Stegostoma tigrinum: one gene and its partner. The protein of the gene in region 2 interacts with the protein of the main gene of each other region in a biochemical or structural test. Links are inferred from orthologs where the notes say so. Each region holds a gene or a part of one and is shown on either strand. Other genes may lie near its edges.

Evidence for each region.
Region 1: the proteins of D(2) dopamine receptor B-like (region 2) and neuronal calcium sensor 1 form a complex in vitro, tested with the Homo sapiens proteins (2 studies listed by BioGRID, with this or other methods). The link is inferred for Stegostoma tigrinum from reciprocal best matches to the Homo sapiens genes DRD2 and NCS1.

Annotation. Positions count from the first base shown.
Region 1 is NC_081382.1:34,886,046-34,896,045, reverse strand, and holds the start of neuronal calcium sensor 1, read right to left. Parts: upstream 4,523-10,000; 5' UTR 4,415-4,522; intron 3,727-4,414; exon of another isoform or gene 3,708-3,726; intron 2,570-3,707; exon of another isoform or gene 2,478-2,569; intron 1-2,477. UniProt on the Homo sapiens protein: Neuronal calcium sensor, regulator of G protein-coupled receptor phosphorylation in a calcium dependent manner. Directly regulates GRK1 (RHOK), but not GRK2 to GRK5. Can substitute for calmodulin. Stimulates PI4KB kinase activity.
Region 2 is NC_081385.1:7,594,039-7,604,696, reverse strand, and holds the start of D(2) dopamine receptor B-like, read right to left. Parts: upstream 4,719-10,658; 5' UTR 4,713-4,718; coding exon 4,572-4,712; intron 1-4,571. UniProt on the Homo sapiens protein: Dopamine receptor whose activity is mediated by G proteins which inhibit adenylyl cyclase. Positively regulates postnatal regression of retinal hyaloid vessels via suppression of VEGFR2/KDR activity, downstream of OPN5.

The DNA of each region.
Region 1 (10,000 bases), on a different chromosome or scaffold from region 2:
TCCAGTTTAATAATATCCTTCCTAACACAGGGTGACTAGAACCACGCACAGCATTTCAGAAGAGGCTTCACCAACATCCTGTATAACCTCAAATTGACATCCCAACTCCAATGCTCAATGGTCTCAATAATGAAGGCAAGCATGCAAAACGCCTCCTTAACAATCCTGTCTACCTGTATGCGATGGCACCTCAAATGATGTAAACAGTTCTTCAAAGTTGTGATGGTCACCACATCTACCATTCTTTCACGCAAAGAGTTCCAGATATCTGCAACCCTCCGAATAAAAAAAAATCATCCTTTAATCCCTTCGACAACTCCTGCCATTTACCTTAAATTTAAGTCTATTCCTTCAAAGTGAGCAGTTTCTCCCAAACTACTCTATCTGATTCATGATTGAGCACGTCTATCACATTTCTTCTTACTCATGTGCTTCCTAAAGAGTGGTACCCAGAATTGGTCACAATACTCCAAATTGAGACTGAAAGTGTTTTAGAAAAGTCCTCCAAACCTTCCTTGCTTTTGTAATCAGCTTTTATAAAGCCCAGGATCCCAAATGCCTTAGTAGCCTTCCTCAACCAGCCTTGCCATCTTCAACAACTTGTGCACGTTTACCTACAGACCTCTCTTCTCCTGCACCCCTTTTAGGATTGCATCATTTCATGTTTTATTATATCTCCTCATTATTCCTATCAAGTATATAACATTAAATGCAAACTAATGTTTTTAATCATCCATTTTTACCCCTGAAGGTTGCAAGATATCTCCATGGACAGAAGCGGGGAAATGGGAATTAATACAACTAATTACAGAGAGGCAATGACAGACCTCTTTTTTGAAGATCATGTTGGATGGGTAGATCATTTGGTTGCTAAGTACTTAAAAGAAAACTGCATTACGGGTGCACGATGTTTATCCTTCATGATTTATTTAAGAAAGAAGAGAAACTAAATTTAACCCCTGGTATGTACTGAGTGAAGTAATCTTATCTATACAGAGGACACAACAATTAGTTTGTTGTTGTTGGACTTAGGTGAAAATGGAAACAACAATCTAATAAAACATAACTGAAAGAAAGAGGGATTTTGGTTAGCTACAGCACATTCTGTCACCATGGCAGGGTGAAAAACAGCATGTTGGAGAAGTCTACGGAGGAAATACCTAAGGTATGGTGAAGATATTAACTTTATAACTTACACAGAATGGAAATTAAACTGTGGCAGAACCCAAAAGTCAGAGAACTATATGTGAAAAGAGGTAGTTGATATCAGATGGGTTAAGAGCCTAGGAAAAGAATGGAAAAGGGACAAGGATTTCAAACGTTCTACATTTAGGAAACTCAGAATCAAATGAAAAGGATGGTGATAAGTTAATGAAACTTAGAGTAGTATAGAGTGTGGCCATGAAGTTGAATAATCCTTCACAATGTCATGTCAAAAGTGCAGGTATTGGTTAAGGCAAAGTTATGCTGAAATGAAAGGGGCAATAGCATGAAATGAAGGCAGGCAATATTAAAAACCTGGAGTGTCCTGCCTTGACATTCAATAAAATATGGGTTTAAGGCCAACTTAGAGTCAAATGTTCTATTCAACCACCAACTCAGATGCTAAAAGAATTAAACTGCATGATCTAATTACTGACCTCGAATATTTGCAATACAGCAGCCAAGTGCATTTGGCTTATCACAATCAACATTGGAAAAAATATTTGGCAGTTTTTCTAACTTCCACTGTTTTCCTTCCAATTTTCCCATCCATCTATAGGTATTGATCCCTAACACCATTCCATGGAAACATGGACAGAGTTTCCCTACCTTTTTTTTAATTCATTCACAGGATGAGGGCGTCACTGGCTAGACCAGCAATTATTGCTCAACCCTAACACCCCAGAGAACAGTTAAGAGTCAACCACTTGCTGTGGGTTTGGAGTCACTAGTAGGCCAGACCAGGTAAGGATGGCAGTTTCCTTCCTTAAAAGGACATGAGTGAACCGGTTGTGTTTTTCCTGACAATTGACAATGGTTTCATGGTCATCACCTTAATTCCAGATATTTTTAAAAATTGAATTGAAATTCCACCATCCACTATGGCAGGATTCAAACCTGAGTCCCCAGAACATTACCTGGGTCTCTGGATCAACAACGTAGCAATAACACCACTATGCTATCACCATCCTAATATTCAACATAAGGAGTCCTGGCTGGCTGACTGACTGCAGAGAATATTTCACAGCTTCAATGATTCCAGGTCTTAACCAGCATTTACCAATTTCCATTAGGACTTGTATACTTTTCAGGAATGATCAGTTCTCTTTTCTATAACTAATAATTCACTCAATCAACCTGGGAGTTCTGAGTGCTTATGACTGTTGAAATGAAGATTTATCTTAGACCCACCCAAATTACTTTTCAATAACAGGTACCTACATATAAAATGGATAACGTACTCAAAGGTTTCACAGCAAAGTGCAAGCAGATACCTTTTCACAGTTCCCAGAAAGCCTCTGATCTTTTCCACGCATACCCAAATTGCAAAGCCTGCAGCATCCTCACTCTAGCACTTCAACACACTCTGTAAACAGTAGAATTTGAAAGCATTATAAATACTGCAGAGACCCCTAGAGTGAACCCATAAATGGTACACCAATTTTAACTTCTGGGATTTCCCTTGTGGGGTTGCAGATTTCAAATCTGCTTTTAAGGCCATTGATCATGTAAAAGTAAGAACTTTCAGCCAATTCACACTACTTTTTAGCATTCTTAATTTGTAACATTTTTGATAAGCTTTGCATTAATGACAGAAAGTTTACTGCACTAATCCTTGCATTAATATCTATGAATGCATGACCACTTAAACTCACTACCATGTATTCTAAAACAATATTTCTGAAATTGCATGCAAGACATTTTGCTATATAGCACCACTGATTGATCACTTTTGTACGCAGACCAATACAACAGAGAATGAAATGTGCCATTCTCTCATCATAGTTGTTGAGCCATTAATTCTGATAATCCAAATAAAGCTTGACGTAATTGCACAGCAGTGTTATTTACTCAATGTGAAAATTGATTTTAATCGCTAATTTTAAAGTTGAATTCAATATACTTTGTTCATCAGCATTTTTACTCACACACACTAGTAATTCTAAATCTCAGATGCTATTAATTTTAGTTGAAAACCAAAACTTCGTCGAAGTATCTCGTTCTTAGAAATAACCGTTTAACGAAGCGGCTTGTGGTTATGTCATTCAAACCGTAAGACAAATTCCAGCCTTCTTCTGATGCTGACAGCAATGTGGCATAGACAGTGCAGACAAAGAGGAAAACCTTGTCGCTATAAATGTCAACACCTTCCTCCCTACAACACCAGCACGCTTAAAATCAGACCTTGCAACGAATAACAGGAAAGACGTCGGATTTCTCATACAAAGAGAGGGACAAATTAACTCCTAAATTAAAAAGGAAAGGAAAATGACAAAATACGCATCGGCATCTGGGGGAGGGGGGGGCGGTTTGAAAGAGTTAGAAATCCAAGTTCGTATCCAGAACGGCGGTTTATCCACGCTTTCTGGAAATCACTACCCAACACCCACTGTAATTGTGGAAGGAATACTTATAAGCCTCCATCCATTTAAAAAAAAATAGGATTTTAAAAATTACACGCACAAAATATGAAGACAATACAACCCACTCACTAGTTAACGTACCTGATTAAAATGAGATGTTTCAGAACTTAACTACTGATTTCCAAATTCGCACATCGAATAGAACCCCCCGAAATGAGATTTTTCGCCTATCCAACTTAAATAAGAGTGTGTGAAATGTGGTATGAGTAAATACATCAATTACGTGCTTCCCGGCAGGTTCGAATCATGAACCAGAAAAACAAACCACCAGTATGCTCCAAAGTATCGCAAAATACATCAAATGAGTGACTCCTACGTGAACCCCTCACATTTTTTGTCGTTTTTTTGTTGCCGAGATGCTTCGAAACTTGCTCAAAAAATAAATGACACGCACCAAACAAAATAAGACTGCACTCAAACAGGAAGAGGGATAATGGAAGAAAAAGTTTCCAACGTTTTTTTTAAATTGCATCTTCACAGAGGGGAACAAGGTTTATTTTCTCTCATTTTGTCTGCAGGAGGGAGTGTAAATCTCAGACTAACGTACCTCCCTCCCTAGCAACCGCAAAGCTTTCGCGTCACTTTCCACCCCCCGCCCCCACCCAAAATTCCCACAACTGTGATGGGGGGGTGGGAGAGAGAGGTGGTAGATGGGTGGGTAGGGAAAAGAAAGAGAAGCACCGATCATCAAATATCATTAATCGCACATGCCCTACTATGCAGGCCAGATCTACTGAATCCTGCCCAGCTATTATTAACCCGCACGGCGTGTTTATCATTCACCTCACCTTTCAGGCCGGCGCTCCCTCCGCCTGTTTGAATGAAGCGGAGCCGCTTCTCCCACAACAACCGCAGCGCCTGCACGCGCATCCGCCAGCGTCGGAATAGAGGCGGGGCCTGCGCCTGACGTCTTCGCACCGCGTGCCCTGGCAGTGACATCATTCTGCCCGCCCACCACGAGCGACGCCGGGTGTCTGACAGGGAAGTGGGAGCTTCTCAGTAAGATCATGGCTGACCTGTGGCAAAGTTCCTTAGGCCCGCTTTGGGTCTATCAGCCTTTGGTTTAAAACTTGCCTTTTCTCAGATTTAAATTTAACAAGCAAATTAGCATCTATCGCTGTTTGAGGAAGAACTGCAAACCTCTACTGCTGTTTCCATTATAGAAATGCTTTCTAACAACTTTCCAATTCTTTGACTCTTTGTGCCAACTGGTTCAGTATCTTCAGCCAGTGGAAATAGTTTATCTTTACCCTGCTAATATCCCGAAGATCTCAATTAGATCAACCCTTTAACCTTCTAAATTCTACAGAATAAATAATTTATCTCATGTCTACTCAAATTAACCCCTGAACCAGGTATCATTACGTGTAAATCTACCTTGGACACCCTTCAGGGCGAAAACATCCTTTCATATAACTGCAGCATTATATCAGCTCCAGACCTCCAAATATGAAGGACAGCATTCCATTACCTTCTTGACTACTTTCTGCATCTAATCGTGGCATTGTACAGTTAAGCATCTGAACCCCCAAAATCTCATTGGTCATCCATTGTATTTAACTTTGTGCCTTCTAATAAATTCCCTGAGCTATACTTTTTCAGTCTGAAATGAATAACGTCACAATTGCTGATATTCAATTCCATCTGTCAACCCTGCCCAGCGGTTTTAACCCTCCCCCCTCAGCTTTTTTACCCCCACTGATTCCCCTCTCTTATTCAGTGCACTTGTTCTATGTATAATGATGCCAATACAAGATTTATAGTTTTGGATATAGATTTATTGGGTGTTTATTTTTACTTCAGTTCCATTCAAGGTTAGTGCTGCAACTTCAAACGTTCTTTCATTCCAGCTATCCAGTGTCATTCTCAAGCCCTCCCAGGTCAGATGCAAAGTAAATCTCTGATGTCATTAGAATTAGAACATTACAGCACAGTACAGGCCCTTCGCCCCTCAATGTTGTGCCGACCTGTCATACCGATCTGAAGCCCATCTAACGTACACTATTCCATGTACGTCCATATGCTTATCCAATGATGACTTAAATGTACCTAAAGTTGGCGAATCGACTACCGTTGCAGGCAAAGTGTTCCATTCCCTTACTACTCTCTGAGTAAAGAAACCACCTCTGACATCTGTCCTATATCTTTCACCCCTCAATTTAAAGCTATGCCCCCTCATGCTCGCCGTCACCATCCTAGGAAAAAGCCTCTCCCTATCCACCCTATCTAACCCTCTGATTATTTTATCTGTCTCAATTAAGTCACCTCTCAACCTTCTCTAACGAAAACAGCCTCAAGTCCCTCAGCCTTTCTTCGTAAGACCTTCCCTCCATACCAGGCAACATCCTAGTAAATCTCCTCTGCACCCTTTCCAAAGCTTCCACATCCTTCTTATAATGCAGTGATCAGAACTGTACGCAATACTCCAAGTGCGGCCGCACCAGAGTTTTGTACAGCCATGTTAATTGTATTAAAATAGCTGAGGATGATGAGATGAAGTTAAAGATGAACCTTCGAGATTTTGTGAGCTCAATGTAATAAATACAGAGCAGCAAACAGAAAAGTCACATTTTAACATGTAAGTCAGAGGGCATAAAGATCAAATTGTACATTGCTGTATCACACCTCGTTTCAAGGCTCATATTTAGTTCTGGTCACCAAAAAACAGGCAAACTCAAAGCAATGTAACAAACAGCCCCAAGCTGATGCAGAACCAAGAAATAAAGCTCTGTTGCAAGGAAAAGCTATTCATTTCTTTCTTTACATCATTGCAAAATAACTTGGATTTTATGTTCAAACAAATGTATCGATGCATTTGCAGACTGTTGTCTTTGTAAAAAGTAGCCTTTAGGGAAAGCATCTTACTGATGAGCTCGCAAAGATATACCAGATGTTTACAGGCAAATTACAGAACATGAGTTTAAATTGAACTGTGAAAGGCCAAGTTAAAATCTGGATCTCCTTTTCACCAGAAGTTATTATGATATGGATTTCTGGGCAGAAAAGCAATAAAAAACCAAGGAAACCTTAAAAAATATAAATGCTGAAAATATAAAAAAAAGTGTCTTCTGGGCTGAGATGGGAAAATACTGTAATTATCTTATGTTCTCCCTTTTGCCTGAAAATGCATATGAAATTTTCAAGCTCAGAATAAATTTAATATACCAGTGTCGACCTCACTGATTGATATTTGCAAATTGGAAACAATGCTTTGTTACAGCCAGAATAAACTCATTGAGAATGTTCAAACTCAGTTCACATTTTGAATAGAATATATCCTTATGGCTGTTTATTGTGCTTTATTGCTCTGTGAATCAGTATGCTAAGAACTTGCAATAATGTTCTGCTTTAAGATGGGGGACATCTCAATTCTATTGTAATATAGCATTTATTTACAACAACTGGTACTCAGTCAGAGCAGTAGTCCAGCTTTGAAGCACAGTAAAATGTGTTCAGTTTGAGGAAAACAAAAGAGTGGAATACAAACCAATCTCAGTATTGATATCCGTAAGTTACATACAGGTTACAATGAATTCCTGACATTTATTAAAGTATTGATGTGCAACAAGTTATACTCAGTATAATATCAAGCCTTCTGTCTATAAAGCTGTAAAGTAACTTCAGTGACTACTTTCCCCTCCCCCCATAAAATATACTTTATTCCTAAAATTTGGAAAGGTGTACTTCACAACATTAGATAGAATGAACTACATCAGGTTTTCTTCAATACAATCACAGGGTGCCTCATCACATGTACCTTATCTGGTTATATTTATAAAGGACATTTATATTTCATGTCTTACATTCTCAGGGGGATACAGCCATCCAGTTTTACACCTGGAAGGTTTCTAGCCTGGATAATATGACAAAGGGGATTTGGACAGTGGTCTTTCCCCATTGCATTAGTCTGTCTATAAGCACATGGCCATGAACCTTGGAAAATGCCCTTTACACTGAAAGATCTAAATGTTTTCGGCCTATCTAAAAGCATCTTTCACTGAGTTGATGGTCCCCTAATAGATGTTATGTTTGTTTCCACATGTGCATCCAGGGGCAGCTTGTAGAGCGCAGGGTCCTACATTGCAGATTTTTTCAGATGAACCACTTTTCATCCTCTTTCCAGATCTTTCCAAAGATATATTCACATCATGGGAATCCCTTTGATTTGGCGGGCAAGATGTTGCAGTGCAGCTACATCCCTTGGAGTGCTGACTGTCATTTCACTAGACTCAGCAGTCAGTCATTCTAAATTCGTCACTTTTAGACCAGTTCTTTTCCACTTGCTTATCCCTTACCCACCACCATCTTTTGTTATTTGAAATTGTTTGCCTCTTTTATTTCCATTCCTCTCCTCATAACATTGACCCTTGTTGGGTAAATTCCCAATTTTACCAGCAGTTATCAGGTAACCTGTCCAAAAGACCAGCATTTATGTGCAAATTTGGCCACTGTATGTTTACTACAGAGAAAAGAAACTAATTAAGACCATGAGAAAAGAAACTGTAATATCTAATGTTATCTATTTGGCCAATAGTCAATCCCAAAGCTTCTCTGACACTGATAAGACCTAGAAGATATAGTAGCTTTTACACTTCAGGAAAATAATCTCAAATCACCAGTGATGTTACTGCTTTCTTTTATTTAAACTGCCTTGATGAGAAAAATGAAAGGCAAGAGATGGTTTCAGGGATTTCAAAACTAATTTGAGGTATTCAAAAAATGTGTGATCTCAGTCCCACAGTAGCAGTTCAGAATCCATATTTTAAGCTCCAAGAGTGAAGGCAAATTAATCAATATGTAAAGGTCAGGTGATACAGTCTTGGGTTCTAAAATTCTGTTGATGGTACAGTAGAGAGCGGACTGCAGGAGATGAGAATTGCACTTTTGAGGTACAGGAAAATAACTAAAATTCAGACATGTATGCTGATTCTAAACGTCTTGAACAAAATCATCTGTAAAAATAGGTACTGTCTTGTAAATTGATTTTGATAATTTTCTTCCTGAACCAAAATTTAGTGGACACAGTTATAGAGGTGTTTATGGAAAACACATGAAAAATTACCAAGACAAGCCCCGCATTTCTAACTTATGATGAGGTTGAGGTTGATTCCTGTACATTGAGGAATCAATTTGGAAATTTAAGATTAACTTTCAACACATATGCCTTATCTCCCAACTTTGCCTTGGTTCTAGCCGTCCTCTGAGTTGTTAATTAATGGGAATGGCTCTCCCCACAATGTAACAAAGATGCAGATTGGCTATATAACTCAGGGAAACATTTTTTATTTCTTCATAGTGAAACCCAAATAAGATTTGCATGTAACATCTTATTTACTGGTGATAATTGTGTAATGCCTGGGAATAGCATGCTACAACACAGTCAGCAAAAGCAAACAATAAACCACAAAGATAATAAAGTGTGAAGCTGGATGAACACAACAGGCCAAGCAGCATCTCAGGAGCACAAAAGCTGACGTTTTGGGCCGAGACCCTTCATGGGGGGGGGGGGGAGGGCTCTGGAATAAATAGGGAGAGAGGGGGAGGTGGACCGAAGTTGGAGAGAGGAGAAGATAGGTGGAGAGGAGAGTATAGGTGGGGAGGTAGGGAGGGGACAGGTCAAGGAGGTGGGATGAGGTTAGTAGGTAGGAGATGGAGGTGCGGCTTGAGGTGGGAGGAAGGGATGGGTGAGAGGAAGAACAGGTTAGGGAGGCAGAGACAGGTTGGGCTAGTTTTGGGATGCAGTCGGGGGAGGGGATGAGCTGGGCTGGTTGTGTGATGCAGTGCGGGGAGGGGGCGAACTGGGCTGGTTTTGGGATGCGGTGGGGGAAGGAGAGATTTTGAAGCTGGTGAAGTCCACATTGATACCATCGGGCTGCAGGGTTCCCAAGCGGAATATGAGTTGCTGTTCCTGCAACCTTCGGATGGCATCATTGTGGCACTGCAGGAGGCCCATGACGGACATGTCGTCTAAAGAATGGGAGGGGGAATTAAAATGGTTCGCGACTGGGAGGTGCAGTTGTTTATTGCGAACCGAGCGGAGGTGTTTTGCAAAGCGGTCCCCAAGCCTCCGCTTGGTTTCCCCAATGTAGAGGAAGCCACACCGGGTACAATGGATACAGTATGCCGCATTGGCAGATATGCAGGTGAACCTCTGCTTAATATGGAAAGTCATCTTGGGACCTGGGATGGGGGTGAGGGAGGTGGTGTGGGGGCAAGTGTAGCATTTCCTGCGGTTGCAGGGCAAGGTGCCGGGTGTGGTGGGGTTGGAGGGGAATGTGGAGTGAACAAGGGAGTCACGGAGAGAGTGGTCTCTCCGGAAGGCAGACAAGGGTGGGGATAGAAAAATAAACCACAAATGCTGTTTCTTTCTTTTT
Region 2 (10,658 bases):
AGAACTCATTCTGAAGAAGGGTCACCTGACCCAAAACATGAACTTTGTTTGACTCTCCATAGATGCTATCAGACCTGCTGTGTTTCACCAGCAAGTTCCGTTTTTTATTTCTGATTTCAAGCGTACACAGTTCTTTGGGCCTTTTCTTAAGAGAAGTGGCAGGTCTGCTCAAACCCCTCAAGTTGTAGGAACTCCAGGAGAACTATTTGTTAACCATTTGCAGGAATTGTAACCTGAGTTGTGGATTTCAAAACCTGAGTAATAGCTGACATCTTTGTGTTGCATCTGAGCAGCTAAAGCAAATGCAGGGAGATAGGCATTTGTTTAACTAGAGACAGTTTATTGCTTGATAGCAACAGATAAAAGAGGTGTTAGTAAGTCGAAAATTGAATACTTTCCCAAGCCCAGGTGAGACATATCCAAGATGGGGAGAGTGAGGCCAACACAGAGGAGAGTGCCCAGCAGGACGTGACTGAGCTCAGCGTAGTAGCAATAGAGATCCCCCAGCATCTATGGCAGTGGCGGAAGCAGGTAGCCCAAGGTCTCCCGGTAACTGTGGCAACGTCAATCACAGGGGAGATTGAGCCCAATGCAGAGGAGATCGAGCTCAGCATAGAGCAGGTTGAGCCCTTGTGGGGAGTGGAAGCCCAGCATTGCTAAGCACTTAAGATAAATAGCAATGTTGAACTTTTAGCTTTATTATTCTATTTTATACTAAGAAGGACTTTAACTGTGAACTTTTAACTATATTTCCTTATTTTTCTGTTTTATACCTAAGATTTTGTACCTTGGTACCTTTCTACCTCAGATGGCCCTGGGAATATCAACATTGTACACTTTTTGCTGTACTCCTGCAATCCTGTACCTGAGTACATGTGACAATAAAATCTAATTCTAATTGGTTGAGGCATTGAATACAAGAACAGGGAAGTTATGATGGAATTGTATAAAGTTATCTGGGCCACAGCTGAAGTACTATATACGGTTCTGGTTGCCAGGCTTTTGGAAGGACGTGATTGTACCACAGAGAATGCAAAGGAGATTGAGAGATAATGGGAACTGCAGATGCTGGAGAATCCAAGATAACAAAGTGTGGAGCTGGATGAACACAGCAGGCCAGCATAAGATGCTGCTTAGCCTGCTGCGTTCATTCAGCTCCACACTTTGTTATTAAGGAAGATTGAACCAGGATATTGTCCGTGCTACATCATACATAGAATGGGGGGTGTTTTCCTTAGAACAGAGATGCTGAGGAGAGACCTGACTGAGATGTATAAAATTGAGTAGCATAAATATTGTAGAGAGGAATAAACATTTCCCATGAGTAAATGGATATATAACCAGGGATTATAGACTTAATATAAAGTGCAAAAGATTTAGAGGGAGTTTAAGGAAAAACTTTTGTCTTTTTACCCAGAGGGCTGTATCTGGAACTCACTGCCTGAAAGGGGGGCAGAGTTGGAGCATTTTAAAATATTTTGGTGAACATTTGAAATTCCATAATGCACAAAGCTATGGACTAAGTGCTGGAAAACTGGATTAGAATAGTTGGGTGCTTGATAACCATCAGATATGAAGGGCTAAACGGCATCTTTTAAATGCAGTAAAACTCAATGACCTCCAACTGTGCAGCTTGGCACTGCACTGCCAAGGCAACCTAGGGTCAGGCTTAGGTGCTTGAACTGGGGTTTGAATCTCTAAGATTTTGCCTTTAAGGTTAGAGTGCAGCCACAGAAGTAACATTGATACACACTCAAAAGTCCCTGGTTCTGTCAAGGATCCAAGACGAGGCTTTGAATGGAGATATTGGCAAAAGAGCAAGAGAGAGATAAGGATAGTGTATTTCCTTGTGTATATTTAAGGCTGAGATGGATGGATTTTTGATCGACTGGGGAATTAAGGTAGGTGGGGAAAGGAAGGTAAGTTGATACAAGTGCCACATTGCATCAGTCATGATACTGTTGGATGGTGGAGCAAGCTCGACAAGCTAAACACCCTACTCCTGTTCCTATTTCTTACGGTCTTGTTGTCTAGTGGTGAGTTGATTTTTACACAGCAAATTATTAGGATTTGGAAAACACTGTCTGAGTGGCAGCAGATTCAGTAATTTCCTTTCAAAAGATGTTGTGTAATTACTTGAAGTGAAAAGGATCACAGGCCTAAGGAAGGAGAACAGGATAGTGGAAATAATTAGTGGCTTTTCCAAAGAGCTAGTACAGACACTGTGAGCTGAATGGCCTCCTTAAAGTGTTTTATGATTCTACGATTGAGAGCTGCAACATCAGTCATTTTAAGCCAAATTAAATGGAGAAACAAAATCTAAATGGATCCACTTTACTGCAATAGCAGGCAATGAATCCACAGCAAAGGGCATTCTGCAGTGGACAGAAATTCACATCAATATCTGACAGAGCAGAGACAGAGAGCGAGTGAGAGAGAGAATGAGAGTGAGAGAGAGAGAGAAAGAGAGAGAGAGAGAGAGAAAGAAAGAGGGAGAAAGAGAGAAAGAGAGAGAGAGAAAGAAAGAGGGAGAAAGAGAGAAAGGGAGAGAGAGCAAGAGAGAGCGAGAGAGGGACAGAGCTGATTTTATGAAATACCAGACGTTTGAAAGTGCAGCTAGTGACTATAAAGAAATCATTCTGCTGTTGCAAGTGTGTCATAAAGATAATGGCAGGGATGTAGATTCCTGACGGTGTGGTATGGCATGGCTCATTTAAAGTATACGTATTGTCTCCCTTATGATGGATTGGGAAGAGTGAATAAGTCAAGCTTTGCAAGTAGCGTGACAAACTTTAACACACATCGAGCATCAACAGCCTTGGGCTCCAGGAAACTAAAGAAGCAAAACAGTCTGAGGCATTTTCACAATCTCATTTCCAACTCCCCTATTTCTTCAAATCACACCATTATACCAATGTGCCCATCTGAAACTCCTACCCAACCTCTTCGAACAGAGATGATGAACTATTATGGTATGAGGAATTCCAGGTGCCTGCTTTAAGTATTCTTATCCCTCGTATAATCATTGTTTCCGAAAGAATGCTCTCTCATTAGAGAGATGATTGATGGCGAGTTTAAGCTGGGGGTCATCATGCCTCAGGCGAGGGAAGATATTGAGAAAGAGAGTCCTTTAGGGTAACCTCAATTGGTTCAGGAACTGAACATTCTGTGTTGCAAACCAACCAATTAAGCTAACTGAGTCCTTTAGAGCATGTTTACTGCTCTGCGCTGACATTACATTAACTCTGCTGTCCTTGTCTCAGCCATTTGGAGGTGACCAGACATGGTTTGCCATCCCAAATCATTTCCCTTCTGAGAGGGAAAGTATGGCTTCTCATTCTCCCACCCAAAAATTGACAGTTCACTAACATTCCCCCACTGTCACTGAGCCTCTTGCATGCCATTATGAATCCAATTTTCCATTTTAGCAGCAACTATACTTAGAAATTAAGCCTCCTGATTTGTATCTTTACTATTTCAATCCAGCTGACTCCCCCTCTCCATTATAACAAGGTGTAGAGCTGGATGAATACAGCGAGCCAAGCAGCATCATAGAAGCAGGAAGGCTGATGTTTTGGGTCTGGACCCTTCATTTTCTGAAGAAGATGCAGCTTGGCCTGCTGTATTCATCCAGCTCTACACCTTGTTATCTCAGATTCTCCAACATCTGCAGTTCCTATTATCCCCCTCTCCACTGCCTGATTTTAGGCTCAACTCCCAACCGGGATCTTAATCATTTAATTTCGGTCTGTTGCCTTGTTAAGGGAATGCTGCAGAGTCAGAGCTGCTGTTTTATAGATGAGATATTAAACTAATTAAGTGCAACTTCTGATCGTTAAGGTGGATATAAAAAAAAACAACATTTTTTGACAGCAAAGAAAATGTTGTTTCCTCATTTTTTTTGCCAACATTCTTTCTTCAAGTACAGCCACTGCCAGTTACACAGTCATTTATCTGATTGCTATCTGTGAGATCATGCTTTTCATTTGTCAGTTTGCGCTTTACCACAGGACAACAAGACTAGACTTTATTTTATTTGGAATCCATCCACTTTGAGATGTCTTCAGTGCTATCAAAATCCAAGGTTATGCTTCCCTTGAGATCCTGTAACAGGAGACTTTCTCACGAAGCGTCACATGATACAACAACAGACCAGCTAATCCTGTGACAAATGGCAGAATATTACAAATTCTGATAGAATGTCATCCTTTGAACTCTCAGGTTAATTTAGACAGTCTCAATACCCAAGCAAGGATGTTTCAGATGAGTTTACAATGTCCTCCCATGTGCCCTCTCCATATCTTTCAACTTAACGGTGCCAAAGTTTTCAATTGACTTACAAGTTAAAAATGTACATGGTTCTAGCTTGAAAGCACAAGCCATTCATGGAATAAATATAGTTCATTGTGGGACACAGAACTTTATACAATCCCTGTAACAGGAATTCAAGTGAACCGGTGGTTTCTCGTTTTGAAAATACAGTTTTTAAATCTACGTTCACCCATTAAACATCTCGGAAGACATGAACCAAGAATATTTTTAGAATGCATCATTGCAACAATATATTTTACCTTCTCTGCTGTCTTTGGCCTGATGGTCTGAAGTGAGAATAAAGGCTTGTCCTGCACCAAAGTCTCCATGTACATTTTCCTTGTGACTCTCAGAGAAAGAGATGAAGAGATCATCGATTGCAGTCTGGCATTGAAAAGCATTGACAGTGTTTCAAACAGCCTTTGCTCTATGTAACTTGCTGCCTCTCCATTCCCTCTCATCATCCCACCCCCAACCCACCTCCTCCCCCACCTTCTCCAAAAGCAAACGCTCGCCTGAGAAAATCATGACATTACGCTAAGGTCAAAGTACATCTCCAGTAATGCCATGAACTGGAACTGTCAGCTAAGGGAATACAATGTCGCTTTTCTTAAAAGCTAACTCTAATATGTATTGATTTTTCCATATCAATTTTACTCAGTGGGAAGCATTAAAGAGACAGCATTTGGAAATTACTGTTTTTGTAATATTTGTTTTTCTTCTCTAAGGAGGAGAAACAGTGAAAGGGAGCTTTCTGCAGTTGTTGCATCTACTGTTTCTGTTAAGCGTAGGTTTAAAATCTTTCTCTGCTCTAACAGAACACATCACTTTCATGACAGCACACAGAGGTGAACTATTGCCTTGTCCCATACCAGCCATCCTAGAGATCTCTGGCATCAGAAATGTTCACCGAATATTCTCTGCTATGAATATTTGTACAAATGTTCAAGGAAGTGTTATTTGACATCTCAAAGCATTCACAATCAATTAAGTAAATGTATTGAAGCACGCTTAGTTTTGTACAGTTAAGGTAAAAGGTAAAGCTACCCAGTATTCTCATTAGAGAGAGACAACTGGTGTTGGTTTAACCTGAGGATTCCTATGCCTCAGGCAAGGGGAGAGGTTGTGAAGTCAGCGCCTTCATTGTAACATCAGCCGGGCCAAGAACTGAGCCCATGCTGTTGGTATCATTTTGACAACCAAACCAGCCACTCAGCTAACTGAGATACTAGGAACTGCAGATGCTGGAGTATCCGAGATAGCAAAGTGTAGAGCTGGATGAACACAGCAGGCCAAGCAGCATCCTAGGAGCAGACAAGCTGATGTTTCGGGAAGGGTCTAGGCCCAAAACATCAGCTTTTCAGCTACTAAATTGCTGCTTGGCCTGCTGTGTTCATAAAACTCTACACTTTGTTAACTCAGCTAACTGAACTGTAAGAAACATTGCGCACCAAGGACATCTTCCCTTGCTCTTCTTCAAAAGTACAGCCGTTGGAATCTTCCTGGTGTGAAGAAAGTGACTGGGACCACAGATCGACATCTTACCATCTGATAGTGCAGCACTCCCTCAGTGCTGCTTTGGATTGACAGACTAGACTGTTCATTCAACTCCCTGCAGTGTAACTTAAACTGACTGACCTAAGAGGTGGGAATGTTACCAATGAATTATCGATGGCACTTAGAAGTGAGATTTGATTAAGAGTGGTCAAACTCTTTATCAATGGTGAAGAGATTTTAGTTTTGACTTGCAATAGGATTCCGACACTGTATTTTCACCCAAGTTACTAAACTTGACGTACAGACTGGATATGTTACCTGGCCGAGACACACAACATACACGGCAACATCTCCCACTCCCTGGTGTGGTGTAATTGAAAGAATATTGGGAACATACATTACAGTGAAAATGAAAAATATGAACAATCCAATGTCATAAAAATTCTAGTGATTTAAAATGGTACCTTAAGAATCTTGCCACTGAGCAGTGACCCCGCTTTTTCTCAAGCATTTTTTTCAACCTTTCTCTCCTTTGCTGAGAAGCTAGAAAGCACCGAACTGCAAAAGATCAGGAACCTTGAGGCTCCCACTTGTCAAATGCTATCTTAGCTGCTACTCAACATCTCCCTCACTATAACATCCCTGCACACTCCATGGAGACCATCCTTCCTGACCTTTCATCCACGTCAGCTGGCATCAACACAACATCATACTCATCACAACATAATGCCTGCTCTTGGAACAACTCCCAAGCCACCTCAATCCTTCAACAATTCACTCTAGAGGCCACTTGTAACAGTGGGAAGCTCTGAACGTTCAAGGAGGTTGGCATGTCACCATGTGCCACTGTGCTACACCAATGTAGTACCTGAGTTTGTGCCAGCGACTTTTACAGCAGACTTACTGCGTGGGCTTCAACTGACTGAGGAGATGGTGGTGTAGTGGTAACAACATGGGACTATAATCTCGAGCACCAGCTTAATATCCTGCTGTTGTGGTTTCAAATCTCACATAAGATATAAAATAAATTAAAATGCTAGCCTAATCGTGACCATTTAACTATTATTGATTGTCACTAAGAAAACAATCGGCTCACTGATGTACTCTAGTGAAGGGAAACCTGCCCTCTTTTGCCTGCTCAGTTCTTCATGACTACAGACCCACAGCAAAGTGATTGACTCTCATTTGTCTTTTGAATAGTTAGGTATGGGCAATAAATGGTCAACAAAGCCAGGATTTTATGAATTAGTTAAAAAAAAGACAATGCCTGAAAGTCAGAGGTGAGCAGTCTTATGTGAGGGGATGGGAATCTATAGACAATCAAATGACTTGTTTTATTCAAACCTAAAGGGTTAGTCACAGTCAATAAGATGCTTGGTCCTACTGGAGTCTGGGGATCCATATCTTTACAGCCCTAGGATTGGGCCAAGATCAGGCCTGCAGGTCAAGTGCACGCAATCCAGGGATTACAAGTAGATCAGCTGAGGAGCCATGAAGACAACACTCTGTGGCCATTTTTTACAGCAAGAAAGCAGTGGAAGGACTGGACTATGACGAAAGTAAATACAAGAACCATCATCATATTTTCTATAAGCTGGAATGGTGATGAGGTATCCCCAGTGAGTTGGAAACACAAAGTCAGGAAGAGTAAGTGGTTAGGGTGGATGAGATGGGGGAAGTCTTTGAGTAGACATAATGCATGCAGCATAATACTGGGCACTACAGTTCAGGAGTCTTGGTGTGCAGTGACAGACTTAGAGTCAGAGGTGGCTCAGTGAGTGTGAGATGTCAGAGAGAAGGCGGTAGCCCTTGACTTCGCAGATTGCAGAAGATCATTGATCATTCTCCTGCACTGCTGAGCATCCCAACTCCCTCCTAACATAGCTCTGACCTGGGCTGCAATCTGTGCCCAGGCTTTCTGTGCGTCTGGTTGCATAGCCTGGTGTGGCAGATGGTTGAGAAAAGGACTTCCACAACACCAAGATCTTCAGGTTGCTGTCTGTGAAGCAGGAAGTCAGTCTTCCTTCTCTCTGGGCGATACGCTGAACGCTGAAGTTCACACACCACAGTGCGATGGACAGTTCTGGGCGAGCAGTGTTGTACATGGGACTGTGCAGCTGGGCTTTAAACATGAACCTAGCCATGTGAAAGCTGCAAAGTACTGAAAGTAGCAAACACTTTCACTTCTCTGGCTGTGCCGTCCCCCTGAGAAACATACCTGAGAGGCCGTTGCATCATTAATGAGGTGAAGAGCGTATGATTGTGCAACAAAAGATTGAAAGATGAGGCAGAATGCAGGAAAGAGATTGCATGCTTAGCGCCATGGTCTGTCCATCAGCATTAGGAAAATGAAAGAGCTGGTCATTGGCTTCAGGAAGTGGAGTGGAGGACATGCTCCTGTATGCATCAATGGTGGTGAGGTTGAAATGATGGACAGTATCAAGTTCCTAAGAGTGATGATCACCAACAATTTGTCCTGGTCCAGCCACATCAATGCCACAGTAAAGAAAGCAAAACAATGCCTCTACCCCTCAGGGGGCTAATGAAATTCAGCATGTCCATAAAGGACTCTTACCAATTTTTACAGGTGCACCACAGAAAATATCCTATCCAGATGCATCGCAGCTTGGTATGGCAACTGCTGTTCCCATATCCGCAAAAAGCCACAGAAAGTCATGAACACAACCCAGTCCATCGTGCAAACCAGCCTCCCATCCATTGACTCCATGTACACTTCCCACTGTCTCGGGAAAGCAGCCAACATCATCAAGGACCCCTCCCACGCCAGTTATACTCTCTTCCACACTGTTCTATTGGGCAGAAGACATAAAACCTTGAAAACAGGTACCACCAGTTTCAAGAACAGCTTCTTCCCCACAGTATCAGACTTTTGAACGGACCTTTAAATGTTAATGTTGATCTTTCTGTCTGCATCTTCTCAGCAGCTGCAACACTGTATTCTGCATGCAGTTCTGCTACACTGTTGCTATTTTGCACAGAACGATCTGCCTGTATACTGCGCAATGCAACAGTTTTCACCGTATCTTGGTACATGTGACAACAATAAATTAATCAAGGAATCAATCAATCAAAAGTAAGTTTGAACTATACACAAACAAAACAGTTCATTGGAAATTAGGAAAAAACCTACCTTTCGAAACAAACATGATCATTTTCTACCACATTCCTTGAACAGCATCTGATTCCATTAGATTATTACCTTTGTTGGGTTTGTGCAGTGCTCACTCACTGCTGATATACAGAAAGGTGAACGTATCTTATCTAAATATGGCTGGTAACTGTCAGAACTACTGCCAACAGTGCGATCTCAAACAATTGTGATTATAACCATTCAAACAGACCATAGACAAGACCGATGTAATATCTTATGTCCTTTATAGTGTTGGAGGAGAATGATGTGCAACTTTCTTCACACAGTGAGTAGTGAGGTTATGGAATTCATTGCATGGAAATGTGGTGGGGGCATTCAAGAGATGCTTCAGATGGTTTTCTACATTTCCTGTAGTGCAGCTCAACATTCCCCTGCTTCATCAATTCGCTATTACCATAGTTATGTTAAACTGGGTGCATGTAAGGAGAAAGCCTTTTTACTTAATTCAAAAAAATAAGCTATCAATCATGGAAAACAATGAATGTCTCACAGGGAATGCAAGGAGGTAATTCAGTTCTGTGGGTTTTACTGAAAACTGTAGTTTTGCTTTCACAATTGCTGATTTCATCAGGGACACGCGATTGAGTTAGCGTCATGCGGTCATGCAGCACTGCATCGTGCATTGTACAACTGTTTAAAATGGAAGGAATCTTTTGTACAGTACTCTGCCATTATACGATTTGTCTTCTTTAATTATTGTGTTTCATAGTTAAACTAGTAGCCTAGCTGACTGGATATTGTCAGTGCTGCTAAAGACAAATCTAGCTACAGAACACACATTTCCCTCCACTCGATTTATTATGCATGATGAGACGGCACTTTAGTTCCAATGTTGGTGTGAGAAGCCTTTGCTGTATTCCGCATATAAACTAAGCAGACAATTAAAAGTAGCACTAATGTCAACACAATCTTTGCAAGATTGTCCATTGTGTCATTGGTTATGTTGGTCGAATGATTGCATAATGAAAAGATTGATCCTGAGCTGACTTATGACAGCATTCAAACTGGAAAAAGCCATTCAATCTTTCGAGCCTTTTCTGTCATTCTAATTGATCAAGTGTGATCTGTACATTGATTTCATTAACTTGCCTTTCCTCCATAATCTTAGATAGCATTTGTTAACAAATATTTTTCAGTTTCATTTTTTGTTTCAACTGACCTGCAATCTTTGAAGGATTAAGTGAAAGAGTTCTAGTGTGTAAAATCAAAATTATGCTCTTTTGTTCTGTCTTCTCTCACCAGCTAATTGAGAAGTCATTTCAACAATTTTCATTGTGATGGTGGGTGAATTGTTTATACTGCGAGAATGTTATTTGTCAATATTTTCTGACAATACATACAGCTGCAGAAATTGTAGCAAATATAGACCTGAGGGTAAGAATTTCTCTGAATTTCTCTCTTGTCCTTAATCATCTGAGAGCTGCTGAGTGCTGTCCTTGCTGCTGGCTTCGTTATTATTTCTTGTTTTTCCAAAATGAACCTTTGATTAATGACCATGGAAAAGCATAAGTGGTTGGCTGGACTATGTTAGAAGTTTGCTTGTGGAGTAGGGGGAAACATTGTAAGCAGAGAAATCCTGAAGGATTGAAGAAGGAACACTTGTGATAAATGCAAAACCAGAATCAAGAACTACATAATTAAATAGCAACTCTATTATAATGAAAAACCCCAATGACAC